Saccharomyces cerevisiae S288C: one gene and its partners. The gene in region 1 interacts genetically with each later gene. Each region holds a gene or a part of one and is shown on either strand. Other genes may lie near its edges.

The links.
Region 2: mutations in PIH1 (region 1) and HAL9 together harm fitness more than expected from each alone (negative genetic interaction), as found in Saccharomyces cerevisiae (2 studies listed by BioGRID).
Region 3: mutations in PIH1 (region 1) and TEL2 together harm fitness more than expected from each alone (negative genetic interaction), as found in Saccharomyces cerevisiae (2 studies listed by BioGRID).
Region 4: mutations in PIH1 (region 1) and DBP3 together harm fitness more than expected from each alone (negative genetic interaction), as found in Saccharomyces cerevisiae (2 studies listed by BioGRID).

What each region holds. Positions count from the first base shown.
Region 1 is NC_001140.6:175,241-180,635, reverse strand, and holds PIH1 (Pih1p), read left to right. Parts: upstream 1-2,636; coding exon 2,637-3,671; downstream 3,672-5,395. Other genes in the region: BRL1 (Brl1p), read right to left, coding at 1-291; GTPase-activating protein NEL1, read right to left, coding at 525-2,417; YHR033W (putative glutamate 5-kinase), read right to left, coding at 3,817-5,088. UniProt on the Saccharomyces cerevisiae protein: Involved in pre-rRNA processing and required for the NOP58-snoRNA interaction.
Region 2 is NC_001147.6:149,898-155,443, reverse strand, and holds HAL9 (Hal9p), read left to right. Parts: upstream 1-1,953; coding exon 1,954-5,046; downstream 5,047-5,546. Other genes in the region: DUF1 (Duf1p), read left to right, coding at 1-157; protein disulfide isomerase MPD2, read left to right, coding at 699-1,532; mismatch repair ATPase MSH2, read right to left, coding at 5,168-5,546. UniProt on the Saccharomyces cerevisiae protein: Putative transcription factor involved in halotolerance.
Region 3 is NC_001139.9:684,734-691,465, forward strand, and holds TEL2 (Tel2p), read left to right. Parts: upstream 1-3,165; coding exon 3,166-5,232; downstream 5,233-6,732. Other genes in the region: ESP1 (separase), read right to left, coding at 1-2,725; GTPase-activating protein MDR1, read left to right, coding at 5,512-6,732. UniProt on the Saccharomyces cerevisiae protein: Part of the TTT complex that is required to stabilize protein levels of the phosphatidylinositol 3-kinase-related protein kinase (PIKK) family proteins. Required for telomere length regulation and telomere position effect.
Region 4 is NC_001139.9:358,854-364,914, reverse strand, and holds DBP3 (RNA-dependent ATPase DBP3), read left to right. Parts: upstream 1-3,055; coding exon 3,056-4,627; downstream 4,628-6,061. Other genes in the region: 60S ribosomal protein uL30 RPL7A, read left to right, coding at 1-580; HNM1 (Hnm1p), read left to right, coding at 999-2,690; KXD1 (Kxd1p), read right to left, coding at 4,815-5,471; pyruvate transporter MPC1, read right to left, coding at 5,887-6,061. UniProt on the Saccharomyces cerevisiae protein: ATP-dependent RNA helicase required for 60S ribosomal subunit synthesis. Involved in efficient pre-rRNA processing, predominantly at site A3, which is necessary for the normal formation of 25S and 5.8S rRNAs.

The DNA of each region.
Region 1 (5,395 bases):
TTCGATTGGCTCGTTATTATATTCTTCTTCAAAACTTGTATCATCAACCTCATCTATTTCCATTCGGTCATCTTCTTCCTCATCAGCTTTAGCAGCACTAAAATCCAATGTATTTCGCAGAGGTGATGGGCTCGAGGGAAAATGGGGCATAAATCGGTTGATAAGCTGTGGTGACAAAGTTGGCCCCTGCTTAGATATACTTAGGTCGGAGAGGCCTCCTAACTCCTCGTCAACGTGTTCCATTCCGCTAGTGAAACTGTCTCTTATGCTCAAATTTTCAAAACTTTCCATATGGAAGATCCTATATAACGTTATAATACAACTACTCAATAAGCAAGTATTGCGATAAACAAGCGACTATTTGATGAGATGCTATACCTTTGATGAAATTAAGGGCCCAACTTGCTTTTGTATCTTCTATTGTCTTAGGGAATTTTGCTCTATTTCATCTAAAGTTTTTTTTTCTTTACTTTTTGTTTTCGCCAATACAGGCGTCGCAAAGTGCAGCAAGAATATTTAGCGAGTTATTTGCTTCCACTTAGATCGGTGAACAAGTTGAAATATTCATTGAATGTCATATCCTCTGTACCAAGAGTTTCCTTGTCAGTGATGTCCAAGGGAATAATTTTGCTTTTCAAGAAACGGTCCTGACTGCCACCGGTTTTAGTTTCAACATATAATGGCTGCGGAAACCTTTGCAAGTCATTTAAAAGCTTGCAACAGAGCTCGCGACCTTCTTTTTCCAAAAGTTTTCCCCTTCTTAAAACTAAGTACGAGCCACCATCTACACAAATGGTGGTTTTATCATCTTGAAGTATCTGGGCTCTTGTTAATGGGACATCCAACACGATCCAGTCGTGTTTCAAATCACTGTAACTCCAGATGAAGGGTTTGCATAATGAAAGGCATGTGTCTTTAGAAGCGTTTATTATTCGGTGAAGAAAAAGGTACCTTTCATCAGGTGAAGTATTCCGAACCGATAGAATTGGAGACCTATATATATGATAACACCACTGTATCAGATTGACCATATCTACGTCTTTTCCCCGGATTTGATTTGGTAATAGAAACAATTGCTTCATCAATTCTTTAGTGTGCTTGGATGAGTAAGCAAAGCTATCGATAATTCGTGAGGCTATCTTTTTCATTGAAAACACAATTTCATTTTGTGCCCCAAATGATCTATTGGCTTTTGGCAATAAGAGGGTTTCAATTCTTATGTATTTTTCCGTTTGATTTTCAAAAGTGGTTTGAAACTGTATAGGAGCTTCAGCTGAATTGTGACCTAGTGAGATTTCTAATGGTAGAGAAAGGTTTTTAGGGTTTAAGCTATATTTTGGGAAGTCCTTAACGACAATAGCGTTCTTTGCGGTCATTATCTTTGAATGACAATTGTAAATGGCATTATGGTCACGCAAGTTCAGGTACTTTTGAAAAGACATTGCGAATCTCTCATCATTGAATGAATCAAACTGAGAAACTGCCATTGACGAAGTTATTAATGGACTCATTTCGAGTATACCGATTTGATCCAATGAAGCTATAAAGAATTCATAGATTAACGATTGGTTTGCAAATTTTTCAAGCATTTTCTTGTAAAATTTTGTCGGACTTTTTGATAGTTGCAATTGTGAACTTTTGGATTCAAAATGGTGGTTTTGTCTCATGCTTTCACCACGTTCTCTTGACATAACTTTGCCGCCACCCTTAGTACATGGACCATTCAGGAATGAAACTATATGACAGTAGGCTGACAAACTGCACTGAGACGCCAGTACGGATGAAACGAACAGCGCTAATCCGGTGCAACGCTTGTCCCTTTTAGAACTGATATTCACTTTGTTTGCAATCTTGCATATTTCCCGTAGCAATTTTCTTAAAGAACCCTGAGTAGATTTATCAAACCAGTATGATTCTTGATTGATTTCTGAAATTTTTTTCTCGAAGTAACTGGCATTTAATTTATCAAGATTATATTTGGTCATAAATTCATTTATTGAAAATACAGCATCACGTCTGTGATTCACAGCATTGTGTAAAATCACATGACCTGATTGCTGAATAGTAATTATTGATAGTGGCTCTTGTTGTCTTGTGATGTAATTATTACATAGAATGGAAACTAAATAATTTAGCTCATGAGGATCGCAAATAGCGTCTATAATCATAATGGTCCGTCTTGAAAGTATTTCTTTCTTTGCAGAAGTCAATGTATAGGTGTTGGAAGGTACCAGTGGCAATTCAGCATTTGAGTTTGATTGGTTGCAGAATAGACAAGTCCAAACATTCTGTTCTCGTAGGGAACAAGCCATCGAATAATAGGCGCCACATTTGGTGCATTTTAGATTTTGGTCATAGTTCTGCGTCACAGCATCGCTGGAAAAGGGCTCATATAAGAAATTAGTTGGAGAACACATAGGCACTTCCTTGGCCAAATTTGGTGCTAGATTGCAGTATTGTACAAATACAGGATTCAGTACCTGATCACTATTTTTACTCTTGATATTTTTTTTCCTTAAAAAAAATCAGAAGACAATAATGATAGAAAAAAACTAGGAATTCTTGAATTCATATGCATGGAAGAAAAAGGAATACAGGGAACAGACTTTTCAAAGCGAACAAACAGACCTTAACCGATGGCCGATTTCTTATTGAGACCAATTAAGCAACGTCATAGAAACGAGGACAAGTACGTGTCGGTGGACGCTGCAGACGGATCGGTGTCTAAAATTGAGCCCATCGCAGATTTTGTAATTAAGACAAAACTATTATCCGCTAATGGGCCGGAAAAACTGCAAGATGGCAGGAAGGTGTTCATCAATGTTTGTCACTCTCCGTTAGTGCCCAAACCTGAGGTCGATTTTAATGCAAGGATAGTGTTCCCGCTCATCATCCAAAACGAATGGGAGATTCCTATTATTACATCCTGCTACCGCATGGACCATGACAAGAAGGGGCAGGAGTGCTATGTGTGGGATTGCTGCATAAATAGCGATTGCTCGCGCTGGATATGCGATGATATCCAACTGCGAGAGATACTGGTCGAATGGTGCTTGGAGTCATGTGAGATCCGAGATTCGGTGGTATTGTGCAGAGATCGCATTGCATTCCCCAAGATGAAGAAGAAGGGCGCTGAGCTTCCTGCACTAGAGGTATTGAATGATGAGTTACATCAAGATTACAAGGCAAAAATGCATAAAATCATAGAAGAGGAGGCCGGAGACCCGATGAGTATATTGAGAGGAAGGAATGACGATGGCGATGATAATAATGATCCCGACGATGGAACACTACCACCATTGTTCCCTATCGAGAACAAAATCTCCGGAGCCAAGATAGAGGAGATTGATAAGAACGAGATTGCTCACAGAAACCTGAAACAGGCACCTGCACCTGCACCTGCACCGCACGAGCAGCAGGAGGACGTGCCGGAATACGAGGTAAAGATGAAGAGGTTCAAAGGGGCCGCCTACAAGCTGCGAATTCTTATTGAGAACAAAGCTCCGAACTCGAAGCCGGACCGGTTCTCTCCGAGCTACAACTTCGCAGAGAATATTTTATACATTAACGGTAAGCTGAGCATACCTTTGCCGCGCGACATAGTCGTGAATGCAGCAGATATCAAGATTTTCCATATCCGCAAAGAACGCACACTATATATATATATATAAACTAACATTTCGAGTATTCTTTTGGTTTTTGTTGTGACTAATACGAACGAATATATAAAAGCGGGAAAAAGGAGAGAGATATGATGTGCATCTATAACAGAATTTTTTTTTTTTTTTTTAATCCGGTAAAAAAAAGGGAATATTCTCAAAATTGCGGAGGGAAAGCGATGTTTTCTCTATGTGCTACGTATTCACTCACACTGTAGCCCAAAACATCGTGAATCTTCTCACTGGGTAAGCCCTTGATCTTCGCAAGCTCCAGACTCGTATAATTGGAGCGGACGCATCCAACAGACTGAATCGGCTTCGAGATATCCAATTCGCCATTGGGTAACCGCTGGCCTATTTTGAGATCAACGCATTCAAGTTCGTGGAAGTTGTCTCGGACTTCGATCACGGCGTTTGGAGTCAGACTAGCCATATCCTTTGACAAAAGTTTATCATAGCTGTTCTCGTCGATGATAATGGCGCCCTTGGTAATGAGCCCGTGCAGAATCCAAAATTCCCTGTTCTTAAGCTTGTGTTTGTTGTCATTAGCTAAGAACTTGGTGTGCATGGGAACATCGTAGCGACGCAACTGTTCGAGCTCCGTATCCTGAAGATCGAGAAACTGCTGCTGTGTGCCGTTTCCGATATGGCGCGGAGGGCGGAAGTGATGCTGAATGTAGTCAACGATCTTCGGGACGTACTCTGGACGGTCGCTCTTCATCACAATAGTCTCGATACCGGCATTAGAGGCGAGGTCGGCGGCTATGAGTTTGGTGCGCATTCCGCCCGTGCCAACCTCGGAGCCTGAACCACTGGAAGTGTTGACGCCCGGAAGGCCCTCTGATAGCTCTGGCACGAGAACAATAGGACGAGCATCCGGATTAGTGCGCGGATTGTCTGTATATAGGCAGTCCACATCTGTGAGCAAGAACAGGAAATCCGCCCCTACAAGAGCAGCGGTAATGGCAGAAAGCGTGTCGTTATCGCCGAACTCGATCTCGCTAATGGATAGCGTATCGTTTTCGTTGACTATAGGGATGACACCCATGGCCAGCAGTTCGTTGATTGTATTGCGTGCGTTATTGTACTGGTTCCAACGCAGTATATCGTTACGCGTGAGCAGGATCTGCGCTGTTTGCTCGCCATACTGGGAAAACAGCATGTTCCAGCGCGCGATGAGACGGCCTTGTCCGACAGCGGCAATCGCTTGCACTTCAGACAACTGCTTAGGCTTGTGCGGAATGTTGAGAGCGTCCAAACCAACGGCAATGCCGCCGCTGGATACGATGATCACTTTGTGGCCCATGCGCTTAAGATTCGTCACGGTCTCGACGATTAACGTCATGATGGACAACTTTGGCTCTTTTGTGCTCTCGTCGACGAGCGACGAACTGCCCAGCTTGATAACGATAGTATAAGCTTTTGTCATTACACCCTTCGATATGCCTTTTCTCTTCCTTTTGACGAACAAAATCAAAAACAAAAAAAGTGGTAATGAATAATCATATGCACGATGCACACTCTATATATATATAAATGAATGTATGCACGAATGTGTATGTGTATGCATACATAAAAGCACATGAAGGGCAGCAAACTTTTTCAAATGCAAAAATGCATGCCCGTTTGGTGCCGTACGGGCACGTGTATTATTTTGCCGGTGGCATGCCACATGGCGAAACCCTTAAAATTACCAACATAATTGGCTAGAAGACTGGGTGTGATGCGGGGGTGGG
Region 2 (5,546 bases), on another chromosome or scaffold:
TCTACTATGTAGGGGCCAAGTGCTTGATAACGATATGACTTTAAATACCGTTAGAACACTTTACTGGAAATCTCAGGGTGACATAGTTCTAGAATACAGAAGAAAAGTACATAATTCACCGCTAGTTCATGAGGTCAACGGGAATGAGGGGAAATGATAATGTTTATTTAAATTATATTTTGGGGTCTGAATTTGGAGTTTTTAAGCGTAAATATATAGTAACAATACCAACAATAATACTAATAATACTATAATAGTAGTTGCAGTAACAATGACAAGATAAAGAATATTCTTCTGAAATGTCTAAAGAACGAAGAAAAAAGCAAGTACTCATTGGAATGCTATGTGTAACAACTCATACATACTCTAGAGCTTTATAATAATTACATAGACATTTTTATAATATTATTTATTTATCAAATTTTATATTGAATAGGTACCATCAAGTTATGCACACATTCTTCATTAAAATACAGTCTGTAAATAATTGTGAATATGGGCGACCTGAATGATGTTCTTATTATCTCAAATATTTCTAATTTTTTTTAATCATTTTTGTTTCTTTAAGAGCAATTAATTTACAGAGCGGGGAACAGTGGCCAATTTTTTGAGCTAAAGAACAGCATAACAACAAAACAACAGAAAAAAAACACAGCGAGTCTAGTGCAAGTACGTCGGCAAAGTAAAACACAAAGGAGATGAAATTGCACGGCTTTTTATTTTCCGTATTATCAACATGCGTCGTCATTTTACCAGCGTTGGCCTACAGTGAAGCTGTCACGATGGTCAAGTCGATTGAGCAGTACTTCGATATCTGCAATAGGAATGATTCTTACACAATGATAAAATACTACACTTCTTGGTGCCAACATTGTAAAACTCTGGCCCCAGTATACGAAGAGCTTGGTGAGCTATACGCCAAAAAAGCTAATAAAGATGATACCCCAATTAACTTCCTTGAAGTTAACTGTGAATTCTTCGGGCCAACTTTATGTACCGACTTGCCTGGATTTCCAATAATTGAACTGGTCAAACCTCGTACTAAGCCCTTAGTTCTTCCGAAGCTCGATTGGTCGTCTATGAAATTTCATGAAAGACTATGGCAAAGAATCAAGACGTGGTTCAACAATCCTAAGTACCAACTGGATACGTCTAGGGTTGTTCGTTTTGAAGGGAGTAGGAACCTAAAGAGTTTAAGCAACTTTATCGATACTGTAAGAAGTAAAGATACAGAAGAAAGATTCATAGAACATATTTTCGATGATTCTAGGAATTGCAATGAAGAATTACGTTCTCAACAGCTTCTGTGTAAAGCTGGTAAAGAATACTACTCTGATACTTTATCTAAATTATACGGTGACGTGAATGGGCTGGAAAAGGAAAGGCGAAGACTAGAAGCTTTAATTAAGCAAAATGGAGATGACTTGAGTAAAGAAGTTAAAGAAAAACTGAAAATCATTCGTCTACAATTGAGCCTATTATCACACATAGAAGACCAGTTAGAAGATACCAGTAGTCATGACGAGCTTTGAACATAAGCTTCGCTCTGTCTTTTACTTTACGAATACCGACTACAGACGGAAGCGGGACCCTCACCCTGAGGTACAACAAATACACAGATACATATATATTTAACAATGTACGTTAGCCGCAATATAAGTGAGATTGTGTAGGTGAAAGATTATGGAGATATACATAAATATTACAGAAGGTCTACCACATGTGTTTTGAATATTGGCTTGTGCTAAGGTAACACTGTTATTTTATTCATTAGAGAAACATCTCTTACCCTGTTTGGTTTTGGTATAATCTCCAATTACGTACATGAAAGATGGCTTTATATAAAAAGCCTTTAATTCGAAAAAAGAATAAATGTCTTAGGGAGCTTATTATCGTACTTTAATTCAACTTAGGAAATCAGCACTCTCCACTCCAAATCTTCGGTTTGAAATAATGGAAAATCAAGGTGGAGATTACAGCCCAAATGGGTTTTCAAACTCAGCAAGCAATATGAATGCGGTTTTTAACAATGAAATCACCGGTAGAAGTGACATTTCAAATGTAAACCATCAAACTGGTACCCCACGTCTGGTTCCTGAAACTCAAATATGGTCGATGCCTGTGCCAGATCAACTGATGACGATGCCTAACAGAGAAAACACCCTTATGACAGGTAGTACAATAGGTCCAAATATCCCCATGAATGTGGCTTATCCCAATACAATATACTCGCCAACAGAGCATCAGTCGCAATTTCAGACACAACAGAACCGTGACATCAGCACGATGATGGAACACACTAACAGTAATGATATGAGCGGCTCTGGTAAAAATCTCAAGAAACGTGTATCAAAGGCCTGTGACCATTGCCGAAAAAGAAAAATCAGATGTGATGAAGTGGACCAGCAGACCAAAAAATGTTCAAACTGTATTAAGTTTCAGTTGCCTTGCACTTTCAAACATCGTGATGAGATTCTTAAGAAGAAAAGAAAATTAGAAATCAAACATCATGCAACACCAGGGGAATCACTTCAAACCTCAAATAGTATTAGCAATCCTGTAGCGTCTTCTTCAGTACCGAACAGTGGAAGGTTTGAACTTTTAAACGGTAATTCCCCCTTAGAAAGCAATATCATCGATAAAGTCTCCAATATTCAAAATAATCTTAACAAAAAAATGAATTCAAAGATTGAAAAATTGGATAGAAAAATGTCTTACATTATTGACAGTGTGGCTAGACTTGAGTGGTTATTGGACAAGGCTGTTAAAAAGCAGGAAGGCAAATACAAGGAAAAGAACAATTTGCCCAAACCAGCGAGAAAAATATACTCTACGGCACTTTTAACTGCTCAAAAACTCTATTGGTTCAAACAAAGTTTAGGAGTGAAAGCGTCCAATGAGGAGTTTCTTTCTCCAATCAGCGAAATATTAAGCATATCTTTAAAATGGTATGCAACTCAAATGAAAAAATTTATGGATTTGTCATCTCCGGCTTTCTTCTCCAGCGAAATAATATTATACTCATTACCTCCGAAAAAGCAAGCAAAGAGACTTCTTGAGAATTTTCATGCTACCTTATTATCCTCTGTAACTGGTATAATATCGTTAAAAGAATGTCTAGACTTAGCAGAAAAGTACTACAGCGAAAGCGGCGAAAAACTCACATATCCTGAACATTTATTATTAAACGTGTGTCTCTGCTCGGGTGCATCTGCCACTCAATCAATTATAAGAGGTGATTCAAAGTTTCTAAGGAAAGATAGATATGATCCAACCTCCCAAGAGTTAAAAAAAATCGAAAACGTTGCCTTACTAAATGCCATGTATTATTATCATAAGCTGTCCACCATCTGTTCAGGTACAAGAACACTACAAGCTTTATTACTACTGAACCGATATTTTCAACTTACCTACGATACTGAACTAGCAAATTGTATTTTAGGAACCGCGATTAGATTGGCGGTTGACATGGAATTAAATAGAAAATCCTCTTACAAGTCACTAGACTTTGAAGAAGCCATAAGGAGAAGAAGAATGTGGTGGCATTGTTTTTGTACAGATAAACTATATTCTTTAATGTTATCCAGACCCCCTATTGTGGGGGAACGCGATATGGATATGCTAACAGATCAAAATTATTATGAAGTGATAAAAACTAATATTCTACCTGATCTTATTGATAAAAAGGAAGATCTCGATAAAATTACTGATGTCAACTCTGCATTGAATGTAGTTGTAAATTTTTGTCAGCACATATCCCTTTTCATATCATATTATGTTTCAAAATTGGTTAGTATTGAGAGTAAAATATACTCTACTTGTTTTGCTGTCAGAAGTACTCTAGATCTTTCATTCGATGCCATGCTTGATAAAATCAAAGATCTCAATGATTCTTTGAACAATTGGAGAGACAACTTGCACGTAAGTATGAAACTAAAAAGTTATAAACAGTATTTATCGGTACTTTACGCTCAAAAATCCCAAGAAAATCCGGCTTTAAGTTTTGAGATTGCATGCTCTCGTGTTTTGAATTGTCATTTTAGGGCGCTATATTCTAAAGTGATTTTGAGCATGATGACTACATCCTTATTGATTGATAACGAACGCCTATACAAAGGTTCTCGCCATGATATTCCTCAGCTATTCATTCTTTTTTCAAGTCAATACTTAAACGCCAGTAAAGAAATGTTACAGCTGTTTCAAGGCATCAATTACCAGGCGCATATGTATAACGAGGTTATGTATCAGTTCTCTACTGCTATGTTTGTTCTCTTCTTTTACGTTGTGGATAATATGAACGATCTAAAAAAGAAAGGTGAGGTAAAAGAGATCATCGATATCCTAAAAAAATCTTATGATCGATTAGTGGGAGAAAATGATGAGCAGTTACTGTTTGACAATGTCAAATGGAACACTTTGATTGTGTTCTACAGCCACTTTTTGAAATACGTTTTGCAACGTTATCATGCTTTGAACGATTCTACGTCAATATTTGATTCTAAACCTTATGATGAAACGATAACGAAAGTTATTATGCATTCAAGAAAGATAAAAGATGAAACAGTCGATCAACTAATTATGAGTCTAAAATCATATGGTTCTCTCCATTCTTTACAAAAGGGCAACGAAGCCGATCTCGCCGATGATGGACTGAATACGAATGATATTTCTTCAGAAGACTTTGCGGAGGAAGCACCAATAAACTTATTTGGAGAGTTATCAGTCGAAATTTTAAAACTATTAAAATCTCACTCCCCCATCTCAAATTTTGGAGACCTATCGCCATCTTCAAATAGGAAAGGAATATCTGATGACTCATCTTTGTACCCAATTCGTTCGGACCTAACATCTCTTGTTTATCCCATCCATAGTTCTGATACCGGAGATACTCTTTCCAGTGGTCTAGAGACCCCTGAAAATTCTAATTTTAATAGTGACAGTGGAATAAAGGAAGATTTCGAAGCTTTTAGAGCCTTATTGCCTTTAGGAAAATTGATCTATGACAGAGATTATTCTTTCGTGAACACTTTTAGGGATTATGAATAAACTGTACCTTGTCTACAAAGATTGTAAAAAATAAAAATTCTTTCCCAATGCATATTATATGTACTATTTGTATCTATATATTATCTATCGATTCTCACTTAAGATGTCGTTGTAATATTAATTATAACAACAAGGCTTTTATATATTTCAGGTAATTATCGTTTTCCTTTTCTGGTTCATTTGCTATAGCACGCAATAGCTCTTGTATTTTATGCTGGGAAGCTTCTTCAGTAATTTTGCTTGGGTCATGTAAACCCTCCTCCTTCACTTTTCTAATCCACTCTTTCAGTAAAGCCTTCAAACGAATATTACCTTCGTTAACTTCCTGTAATGATAGCTTAGCTTTTTTCAAATCTTCATTATTAGTTTTTAGATCGTCCAATTCATTGGCTTTACGTTTAGCCATTTTAACAATTTTTTCTGGAAATTGAACAACTTCTGCAACATGAATACCAAAAGACTGATCTGAAATACCAGGCTCAACTTTGTATAACAACGTG
Region 3 (6,732 bases), on another chromosome or scaffold:
AACTTGTAATGTCTGCCTCAGCATCAAGATAATCAAATGCCTTATTGGCTTTTCCCAAAGTTATATTTTGAAGACAGGTTTGCTCTGTAATCATATAGTATCTGTGAAGAAAATGCAGACATCTGTAGACGATAATAGGTTCCTCTAAGTCAGAAATAATTCTAGACAGTTCTTTACTGTAGAACTCACAGTCTCTGGCAGAACCAATGCGTATATGTATTTTAATGAGTTGGAAAAAACTAAACGATAGACTTTTTAGTAATGCTAGCCTGGATCCTTGTGACAATTTGTTCTTCTTTTTGAGCAACGATAATGCTAAATTTTGTGCTTTTCTACAATCAATTACTGCGGATATAACATTACCAGCTTTAATATTTAATTTCGCGCTTTCATTAAAAATTTTTATGTTCAAAAGTATGACTTTGATGTAAAGTGACATGGGTAGGTTGTGGTCGTTATTGATATCAAATAATTCAGGCTTCATAGCAGGCAGTGTTTTTCCAAAATATATTTGAAACGCTGTCAAGTCAGAGTCCCACAAGTGGACATTTATTAAAGAACTTGCATGTAATAACGCCTGCTCTATTTTCGCCGTTGATAAATTCATTGTTTTTTGTAGTTGATTCTTCATCATGAGGGCATCATCAATCATATATAAGCTCAGATAAGCCTCTAGCAAATAATTGTCGGCATAAGGCACAATACTGGAGTAATACTTTTCTTTTGATTTAATACAGAGTGAAAGTTCAATGGATAACTTATCAAAATTATTAAAGTTCAAGTAGCACAATAGCATTTTAACGAAGTCCATTTCAAATGACGATATTCTCTCGGCCTTTTCATCTGATTTTTGTAGCCATTTGTTTATGTACAGCTTAGTTATTTTCGATAGATTCGTTGTCAGGTGTTTACTCATGTCCAGGTTCAATAGGTACACTATTCGTATTAATAGCTCATATTTGTTGAGCAAGTGTAATTTATCAAACGTATTATTTAGCTCTAAAGGATCCAAATCAAAGATACCCCTCAGTGAGCAAAATATCATTCTGCTTAGTTGTGACCAATTTTCGGAAGGAATGTTTTCGATAGATGAATTTCCATACAGTACTGAAAGCATAATTTCTGAACTGTTTGAAAACTCGATGAATTTTGTGATTTTTAGGCGTGTAAAGCAATGAATGAATGCATTTTGGCAAAAGTCAAAAACAAATGATAGCGTATCATTTCGTAGCATGCAATATACATTGAACAAACAGGAAAAGATTTCAATTTTTTTCTGGGCACTCTGAGCACTAGATATAAATTTTTCAAATTTCAGTATAGTACGATGAGATGTTTTTGAATCATTACTGATTAAAACATTTGAGATTTCCAAATTAGCAGTCTTTAACAAAAACGAATGACTCTTAAATAAAACAGAAGCATTGAAAAGGACACTGATAATATTTGACAGTCGTTTAGGCTCTTTATAATCGATACAAATTTCTGATAAAACTCCCAGAAGTTCGGATAATAATGCCGCCGCAGATTCGTCATTAATGGATTTAATATTTGAGTTGATATAAATAACAGTACAATCAAACTGCCTCAATATATCCTTATTTTTAGGTAATCCCTCTAGGCGAATAGTAGACCAAAGACAGACTAAACATTTTAATGTTGCGGATATATGTTTCCCTTTATTTTGTAGAAAATTCGTTGCATTTTCGAGTATTACGTTCAAATCATCGACAGATATACAGGACCAGAGAAGACGGTTTTCACTCATGTTGCAGTATTCATTGAATTCTTTTTTACTTTTTATCGCTCTTTGTACCTCAGTAGTTTCTTCGTAACTTAAAATGTCTAGAAGCATTATTTTATCCAATCCATCGTACAGCATGGAATAGGATAAGTAAAATGAATTTAAATATATTTTATTAGGTCCCATCTCCAAATAATTTTTATGAAGAAGGTTTTTGCTAAAACACTCGACGGTAATGTTGCTAATGAACTTTTTAAAAGGTAATTTGAACTGTTTGATATATTGTAGAAATTTTAGCCCGAATAGAACTTTGCAACTCGTCGTGACAGAAAAAAAGCTCAGCACGATTTTTGTGAGAGCGTGAGCTTTGAGGTTAGGGTCTTTCAAAAGATATCTTTTATCATGGGAAAATAGTTCTAATATATGCGGTAAGTATTCGTCTACTAGCTTTCTTTTCAGTATAATCTGCAGCGCTAATATTTTCAGATTTGAAAGATAGTAGTCGTTCCACGTACTGAAGTCTGCTAGAAGAATGTTTTTCAGACTATGAGCTTGAAATAAATTCGTTTCATTGAAAAGAAAAATAATTTCAGAGGAGGCCAATCCTAATGCGTTATTATTTATTAGTTTAACAATTATCATCAAATGTTGTTTAACAGTGGAGTTTATATGGCCCCACATGTGATGGCTCTTCAATAGGCTATATATTGAATTTAATGAATGGTCAACAGTGGTAATATCCTCAATGGCTAAGTCTATGTTATTGCTTGCAATTTTTGTAAAGTCACGTATTATGTTATTATGCATTGCTAGTATGCCAATAGAATTGGATGAGGCGTCTCCAGACAACACCGAGGTCAGTGGTCTAGTTTGGCCACTATGATGTACTTTCGAAAGCGTGTCGTTTAAAAGGTAGGACTTGCTAGTCATCGGAGTATTCGGACTAATCTCATTCAGCGGTTCCTCCTGTTTTACCATCATTCCTTAATTTATAAGCACTTCGTGCCTAGGTTAAATTATTACTAGGTTAGCCTCAAAAATGTTGGGTTTAGGTCAACTTTTTACTATGCTCGCAGTTAGAAGGAAAAGAAAAATATGCTATAGCCAGATGCTCCTGTGAAACGTGTCCTAACTAAAATAATTCGGATGTTTCTGATGATAGAGTGTCTATATTCCTCCAAAAGGAATTTAACTAATTGTGGTAAGCTTCTCGCTTCAAATGCGCAATGTTACGTGGATGGGCTTTGTATCCATGTTCTTGTTTTTGTTTGTTTACCTCTTTTCTGTAAAGACCCGTGAAGTTTGAAAAGAAAGAAAATAAAAACAAACACCAAGAAATGCAGACAATAAGTACTTGTGGACAGGTTGCCGCTAATAGAACGTGAATCGAGCTACTTTATACGCATTTAATTCCTCATGAAATGGTTTTAGAAACGCTGAAACAAGGGCTTGACAGCAGTCAAATACATGAAGCTTTAATACAACTAGATTCCTATCCTCGCGAACCGGTGGATCTAGATGCCTCGATGGTTCTCATAAAATTCGTAATTCCAGTTTATCCATCACTACCAGAAAGATCGAAGGTGATATTGAGACGGCTAGCTTCTAAATCGTTTACATTTTTATGCCAAATTGTCACCTTCTCAAGGACAATAAGTGGCCGCGATGGACTGCAAGAGATACGCATATACCAAGAAATTTTAGAAGACATCATCAGTTTTGAACCGGGATGTTTGACTTTTTATTTAAAGGCAAGCACTACTAGCAAAGCAGACCGTGATAGCATTAAGGCCCTTTTCTTTGGGAGCAAGTTATTTAATGTGTTGGCCAACCGAATTGATATGGCGAAATATTTGGGATACCTTCGGCTTCAGTGGAAATTTCTACTTGAGAGTAATGAAACAGATCCACCTGGGTTTTTAGGGGAATGGTTAGTTTCATCATTTTTGCTTAACCCAGTGCTAGCGGCAGATATGTTATTAGGCGAATTATTTTTATTGAAAGAGTCGTATTTCTTTTCTTTTCAGAAAATCATATCTGCTAGTAGTCTGATAGATCAAAAGAGGCTGATTGCTAAGTTTTTATTACCATATATTCAAGTTATCGTGACTTTAGAAAATTTGAACGATGTTAGGAAAATTCTGCGGCGGTTTGATCTCGATAAAATCATAAGTCTGTCCGTATTATTTGAAATACAGTCGCTGCCATTGAAGGAAGTGATAGTACGTCTGATGAGCAACCACTCTTCCACGAAGTTTGTTAGCGCTTTGGTAAGTAAATTTGCTGATTTTACAGATGAGGAAGTAGACACAAAGACATGTGAATTGCTTGTACTCTTTGCAGTGCACAATCTCAATCATTCCCAGAGAGAGGAAATAGCACACGATGAGCGGTTTTTGAATGGCGTGACCAAACATTTAGGTAGCAATGAACGTGAGGCAAGGGAGCGTGCGATGTTTATTGCCAAGCTTTTATCAGGCGGTCATCTGAAGTACGAAAGTGATTTTAAAATCAATATACCGAATGTCAAATTCGAAAGCAATAGCGATGATAAAATCATTGATTTCCAATCTTTAAAAAATCCATCCATATGCAATACCCAAACTGATGTGGGTAAGGATAAGATTACTGAGGTCTCGGGTCATGTTCAAAGCCTTACATTGGACTGCAGTGATAGCGATGATGAAGATGAGAACGATGAGCGGGAGATTGTTAAACGAATTGTATTTTTAAAAGATTTAATGAAAGAATACGAAAAAACTGGGGAATCTCGAAAAGCTCCATTGATACCACTTCTGAAGCAAACAGTGAAATTGATACGGCAAAAGGCGGATTTTCAGTTAGAGGTTGGCTATTATGCACAAGGTATTCTGTCAAGCATTGTGTGCTTGAATAATGAATTTGATGAACCGCTTTTCGAGCAGTGGAGAATAAACGCTCTAACAAGCATACTGGTCGTCCTTCCAGAGAAGGTGAATGGCGCTATAAATATTCTATTCAATTCAGAACTGTCGTTACAGCAAAGGATGTCACTATTGTCGGCTCTGGGTCTTTCTGCAAGAGAGTTGAGAGGGCTTGATGATCCTACTATTGTCAAGCCCAAGTTTGATTTTCCAACAAATCGTTTACCGTGGGATGATCAAAGCCATCATAATAGTAGGCTTGTTGAAGTTCAAGAGTCAACAAGTATGATAAAGAAGACGAAAACAGTATGGAAATCTAGAAAACTAGGCAAGGATCGAGAAAAAGGAACGCAAAACCGCTTTAGAAAATATGCTGGTCTATTCTTCTATCCGCTAGCACACGGTTGGCTTAATGGAATTGACGTAGGCACATACAATCAGCTTTTTAAGTCGCATTATTTAACAACACTGCGTATCATATACTCTTGCGCTAACCCGGTCCACGATTTTGAATCCATGACGGAGTTGATGAATCATATAATTAGTTCAGCCATAGAGGAAGGAATTTCTCTCAATAAAGGTTAGTAGCATAGTTATTTGTACCAATCTTATGATACATATTTGAATAAATTTAGTGCGTTCTCTGTCAGCGTCGTTAGTATTTAATGCACAGCATATTATTTCAGAAGGTCGGCCGACTCCTGCAACTGGGAAAAAGAACTTCAATAAGAAAAGGCCTGAACAAATCTGCTTGGTAAGGGCCCAACAACATTTAAGAAATTGTACATTTTGAAAGCACTGATCCATCAATTAAAGCACCGAACAACCTCAGAGTTGATACAATTATTAGTTAAAGGATAGGATATGTCATTTTTTGATTCTTTACGTCAAAAGGCACCCTTTTTGGATAAACTGGCAGACAGTTTCACTCCAACATTAACCAGAGATGAGAAATTCAGATTAAAATATAAACTTCCAGCTAATGAAAACATTTTGGAAGATACGAATGCAGAAGTTTCATTTGCAACTTCCATTAAAGATGGAAAAGGGCATTCTGATAGAGTGAACAATAAAGGGAGAAAAACTGCTTATGTGTATTCCGGGAGATTGTTTTTAACACCTCATTTTCTGGTATTTCGAGATGCATTTGATCATTCATCGTGCGTACTAATACTGAATATTTCTACCATTAAACGTGTAGAGAGGTCGCCATCCGAATCATATGAATTTGCTCTTCTAGTAACTTTGTACACAGGAGCAAAGGTTCTGATTCAATTTATCGGTATACGTTATAGATCGGAGCAGTTTTGTGACAAATTGAAACTAAATTTGAAAGAAAATATTCCTAATGCCAAAACTTTACCTGCTTTTCTAGAAACCTCATATTCGGAGTTCTTAATTGCTAAAAATATTCTAGGTAAAAAGGACATAACTGTACCCAGGGCAGGTCTAGGACAACATTTCAAGTATCCCGGTAATCCTACTATGGTAAAAGAAAAGGCTAAATTGAGGCTATGGTTCGATTATTTCAGAGAGAATGGAAGGAATTTGGCAGTTGTGCAAACTCCTATGTTCCGAAAGTTAATCAGAATCGGTGTTCCAAATCGAATGAGAGGTGAAATTTGGGAACTATGTTCAGGTGCAATGTATATGCGTTATGCAAATTCTGGGGAGTACGAAAGGATATTAAACGAGAATGCTGGTAAAACATCGCAAGCTATCGACGAAATTGAGAAGGATTTGAAGAGATCGCTGCCCGAATACTCAGCATACCAGACTGAAGAAGGTATTCAAAGGTTGAGAAATGTTCTGACAGCTTATTCGTGGAAGAACCCTGATGTTGGATATTGCCAGGCCATGAATATAGTTGTTGCAGGATTTTTAATCTTTATGTCTGAAGAGCAGGCTTTTTGGTGCTTGTGTAATCTATGTGACATCTATGTTCCAGGTTATTACTCAAAGACGATGTACGGTACATTGTTAGACCAACGAGTGTTCGAGTCTTTTGTAGAGGACAGAATGCCGGTTCTTTGGGAATACATTTTACAGCATGATATTCAACTATCTGTGGTGTCTTTACCTTGG
Region 4 (6,061 bases), on another chromosome or scaffold:
AAAGGAATACGAAACTGCTGAAAGAAACATCATTCAAGCTAAGCGTGATGCCAAGGCTGCTGGTTCCTACTACGTCGAAGCTCAACACAAGTTGGTCTTCGTTGTCAGAATCAAGGGTATTAACAAGATCCCACCTAAGCCAAGAAAGGTTCTACAATTGCTAAGATTGACAAGAATCAACTCTGGTACATTCGTCAAAGTTACCAAGGCTACTTTGGAACTATTGAAGTTGATTGAACCATACGTTGCTTACGGTTACCCATCGTACTCTACTATTAGACAATTGGTCTACAAGAGAGGTTTCGGTAAGATCAACAAGCAAAGAGTTCCATTGTCCGACAATGCTATCATCGAAGCCAACTTGGGTAAGTATGGTATCTTGTCCATTGACGATTTGATTCACGAAATCATCACTGTTGGTCCACACTTCAAGCAAGCTAACAACTTTTTGTGGCCATTCAAGTTGTCCAACCCATCTGGTGGTTGGGGTGTCCCAAGAAAGTTCAAGCACTTTATCCAAGGTGGTTCTTTCGGTAACCGTGAAGAATTCATCAACAAATTGGTTAAGTCCATGAACTAAACTGGTTGAAGTCACATTACATATAACTACTTATTTTATCTAAGTCCTATATAGTTCTGTTATTCACTAGTTTGTATATTGTACCTCTAATTTATCTTATAATTTCGTCAGTAATGACTTATAATTGGCTTTATTTTCTTCTCTTTTTTTTCACATGCGCAGAACCTATATAACGAAAAAAAAAAAAATGAAAACTGAAGATAAGCGGCCTTGACTTCTCTAAACTGCCGATATTTCAACGAAAGTTAGCCAACTTATTTATAAAAGCCTTGAATACCAACAATTGGAAAGAAGGTGTCTGTGCTTATCATATATAGCTTGCATAAAGAAAAATTATAATATCTTCGAACTTCCATAGAAAGAATATCTTTCAGTGTTAACTGGCTCATTTACTCAGAAATTAGTATTTTGAAGAACGATGAGTATTCGGAATGATAATGCTTCCGGTGGCTATATGCAGCCGGATCAATCTTCGAACGCTTCTATGCACAAAAGAGACTTAAGAGTTGAGGAGGAAATAAAGCCATTGGATGATATGGATAGCAAGGGTGCTGTAGCAGCAGATGGTGAAGTTCATCTAAGAAAGTCATTTTCGTTGTGGTCAATTCTTGGTGTTGGATTCGGTTTGACTAATTCCTGGTTCGGTATTTCTACATCGATGGTTGCAGGTATATCTTCTGGTGGACCCATGATGATTGTTTACGGTATAATTATTGTTGCCCTGATTTCTATTTGCATTGGTACCTCGTTGGGTGAATTATCTTCCGCATATCCGCACGCCGGTGGTCAGTTTTGGTGGTCTTTGAAGCTTGCCCCTCCTAAGTACAAAAGATTTGCGGCCTACATGTGCGGTTCATTTGCTTACGCAGGATCCGTGTTCACAAGTGCTTCAACTACGTTATCCGTTGCTACCGAAGTGGTTGGTATGTACGCTCTGACGCACCCTGAATTCATCCCAAAGAGATGGCATATATTCGTTTGCTTTGAATTGTTGCATTTGTTCTTGATGTTTTTCAACTGTTACGGTAAATCCTTACCTATCATTTCATCTTCCTCTCTATACATTTCCCTACTATCCTTTTTCACAATTACAATTACTGTATTGGCATGTTCTCATGGAAAGTTCAACGATGCAAAGTTTGTTTTTGCCACATTTAATAATGAAACAGGTTGGAAGAACGGCGGTATCGCCTTTATTGTCGGTTTGATTAACCCAGCTTGGTCATTTTCGTGCCTTGACTGTGCAACCCATATGGCGTTTGAAGTTGAAAAACCAGAAAGAGTTATTCCCATTGCTATCATGGGAACAGTCGCCATTGGGTTTGTCACTTCCTTTTGTTATGTTATCGCTATGTTCTTCTCTATACAAGATCTGGACGCTGTCTTGTCTTCTACAACAGGCGCCCCAATCTTGGACATTTATAATCAGGCATTGGGTAATAAATCAGGTGCGATTTTCCTGGGTTGCTTGATTCTATTTACCTCTTTTGGTTGCGTCATTGCTTGTCACACTTGGCAGGCAAGGTTATGTTGGTCATTTGCCAGGGACAATGGTCTTCCATTATCCCGTTTATGGTCGCAAGTTAACCCACACACTGGTGTACCTTTGAACGCTCATTTAATGTCATGCGCTTGGATAACCCTCATTGGCCTACTTTATTTGGCTTCCAGTACGGCTTTTCAGTCCTTAATTACAGGTTGTATTGCATTTTTATTGTTATCCTACATCATTCCGGTTATATGTTTACTTGCTAAAAAGCGTAACATAGCTCATGGTCCATTCTGGCTTGGAAAATTTGGATTTTTTTCAAACATTGTTCTTTTGGGTTGGACTGTCTTTTCTGTGGTCTTTTTTTCCTTTCCACCAGTTTTACCTGTGACAAAGGATAACATGAACTATGTTTGTGTAGTTATTGTTGGTTATACTGCGTATTCGATTCTTTACTGGAAATACAAGGGTAAGAAGGAATTCCACGCTTTAGAAGAATCTGAGAACGAACAGGCTGAATATAGTAATAACTTCGATACCATTGAAGATAGTCGAGAATTTTCCGTTGCGGCCTCTGACGTTGAACTCGAAAATGAACACGTACCGTGGGGAAAGAAGTGAATTTATAGTGTTGATCAGTCGACCGTTATTTATTTTAAGTATATTATTTGCATAGAAGTAATAAAAGTGAATTTTTTTTAATGGTTTGTTAAGCCATTTTAGACGAGGGACTAAGATATTTCAACCTAAATATCCCTCAGGCTTTGCGCTCTTGAAAGCGATGTGACTGTAATTCAAATTTCTTGAAATATTTTTGCGGGAAAAAGATGAAAAATTTTTCACCTCATCGCATAAGAAGCAAATAAAAAAAAAATATTAATAATAGATAGGCAACAATATAGCAGCTCAGAGATATAGCTTAACTTCATTTTACAGCCTTTTAACGAAAGCATAAGTATTAACAGTTTGATATATAGGGGATTAAAATGACAAAGGAAGAAATCGCAGACAAGAAGAGAAAGGTTGTAGATGAGGAGGTAATTGAAAAAAAGAAGAGTAAGAAACACAAAAAGGATAAGAAAGACAAGAAGGAAAAGAAGGATAAAAAGCATAAAAAGCATAAGAAGGAGAAGAAGGGTGAGAAGGAAGTGGAAGTACCAGAGAAAGAATCTGAAAAGAAACCTGAACCTACTTCTGCAGTGGCTAGTGAGTTTTATGTTCAGAGTGAAGCACTAACCAGTCTTCCACAATCTGATATTGACGAATATTTCAAGGAAAATGAAATTGCTGTTGAGGATTCTCTGGATCTAGCCCTACGTCCGCTATTATCATTTGATTATCTTTCTTTAGACTCTTCCATTCAAGCAGAAATTTCCAAATTTCCAAAACCAACGCCTATTCAAGCCGTAGCCTGGCCATATTTGTTATCTGGTAAAGATGTTGTTGGTGTTGCTGAGACCGGTTCTGGTAAAACATTTGCTTTCGGTGTTCCAGCTATCAGCCATTTAATGAACGATCAAAAGAAAAGGGGCATACAGGTTCTAGTCATTTCCCCAACTAGAGAACTTGCTTCCCAAATTTATGATAATCTGATTGTATTAACTGACAAGGTTGGTATGCAGTGTTGTTGTGTTTATGGTGGTGTTCCAAAGGATGAGCAAAGAATTCAGTTAAAAAAGTCACAAGTGGTGGTTGCTACACCTGGTAGATTATTAGACCTATTGCAGGAAGGATCTGTTGACTTATCTCAAGTTAATTACTTAGTATTAGACGAGGCAGACAGAATGTTGGAAAAAGGTTTTGAAGAAGACATCAAGAATATTATCAGAGAAACTGATGCGTCCAAAAGACAAACTCTAATGTTTACCGCTACCTGGCCAAAGGAAGTCCGTGAATTAGCTTCCACGTTCATGAACAACCCAATCAAAGTATCTATTGGTAACACGGACCAACTAACTGCTAACAAAAGAATTACACAGATTGTTGAAGTGGTGGACCCACGTGGAAAAGAAAGAAAGTTATTGGAACTGTTGAAAAAGTACCACTCTGGTCCAAAAAAGAATGAAAAGGTCTTGATTTTTGCTCTTTATAAGAAGGAAGCTGCTCGTGTTGAAAGGAATTTGAAATATAACGGGTATAACGTCGCAGCTATCCATGGTGATTTGTCCCAGCAACAAAGAACGCAAGCATTGAATGAGTTCAAAAGCGGGAAGTCTAACTTGTTACTGGCCACCGACGTTGCAGCAAGAGGTTTAGATATACCAAATGTTAAGACAGTTATTAATTTAACTTTCCCATTGACTGTGGAGGATTATGTCCATAGAATCGGTAGAACTGGTAGAGCTGGTCAAACAGGCACAGCACACACTCTGTTCACTGAACAAGAAAAGCATTTGGCTGGTGGACTGGTTAACGTTTTGAATGGTGCCAATCAACCTGTTCCTGAAGATTTGATAAAGTTCGGTACTCACACTAAGAAGAAGGAACATAGCGCTTATGGTTCATTCTTTAAGGACGTCGATTTGACTAAGAAACCAAAAAAAATTACTTTCGATTAGGGGTTTTTTCGTTTACTTCAATCTTGGATTTTCTTCTCTAATAATAGCCAATCGAGAGTCGGAGATTTATTAACAAAACACTGTATATTACTATTATAACTGCCCACTTTCATTTATCATTAATATTATTTAAATTGACTCTCACATAGTATACATATTTTCTAGAAAAAAAATACGATTCAGTATATCAGCAGTCATGGTCTTCATTCAATCTGCGCTCAAGAATTTTTTCTCTTGCCTGATTAAACTCTATGGGGAAATCGACACGCAAAGCAGCGTTTAAATAGTCGATGTTCTTTCTTGAAGTTTCTAAATCACGTTTTATTTTTTTTGAAGTAGCCTCACCATTTTCAAACTTCTCTTGCAGTTGAGTGAGCCTGCTCTTCATTTCATCAATATATTGTTTAAGCTCTAGGCTTTTCGAATTTATAACAGCGGAGGTTTTGGTCTGTAGAGAAAGTGCCTCTGAGAAATCAGCAGAATCAATAGATTGTTTTAGAGAATCAAAAATATATCTAGAAACGTCAAATATTGGACCAGGATCCTGGGCATCCGTGGGTAGCAAATTGCTTGACTGAGGGATATCGTTATCTAGGAACAAATCTTCGTCAACGTTAGATTCATTGTCCATTTCATTTTGCTCCACAACATCTGAAACGTTACTTCCATCACTATCGAAGCTACCACTTGAGTTGCTAGTGGTGCTGATCGAATCATGGAAAGAGCTGGACATTTCCTCTGTTATAGGAATCGCGTAGGATTGAGAATTAATACTGGGTGTTGAAGAATGAACAGCCGAAAAAGTCTCTTCATCATCATTTTCCTCCGATATTCCGGTCACCATTGTTCTTCACTAAGTGTTGGTAACCATTATTTTGCCTCTCTTATTATTTTACTATAATATAGCTGCGACTTTTCAGTGAAAAACGTTCTTTTTTAACTTTTTGAATGGCTGAATATAATCAGTAATACAAAGGAGATGAGAGGGAAATTGTCTTGGATATAAAAGAAATATTTGAATAAAGACATAATAATTATTTAGGTTATTTAGAATATGTCATCTTATGTAGTTTGGTTCAATACTAACTACTAAATAAAATGAAACTCATAGAGATAATGGTTCTATAGCATGCATATATGAAAAGGAGAAGAGGTAAAAATGAGAGAATATGCATGAACATATCCATCCTCTTAATCCTTGCTTGTTCTTTTTTATGTTTCCATCTAGTCACCTACTTCAGGTTCTTAGACTGCTCGTTTTACTGTTTACCAGTTTTTTCTTTCTCTTTCCATTCCTTATCTAGAGCTTTCTTCTCCTCATCTGTTGTGAAATACGTGTATTTGAGAAACCTATAGCCTTGAGCTAATTGCGCAGTTTCATTAATAAGGTGGCATCCAAACAGTAAGTAGTTTTTGGGTGATACTGAAAGAGCA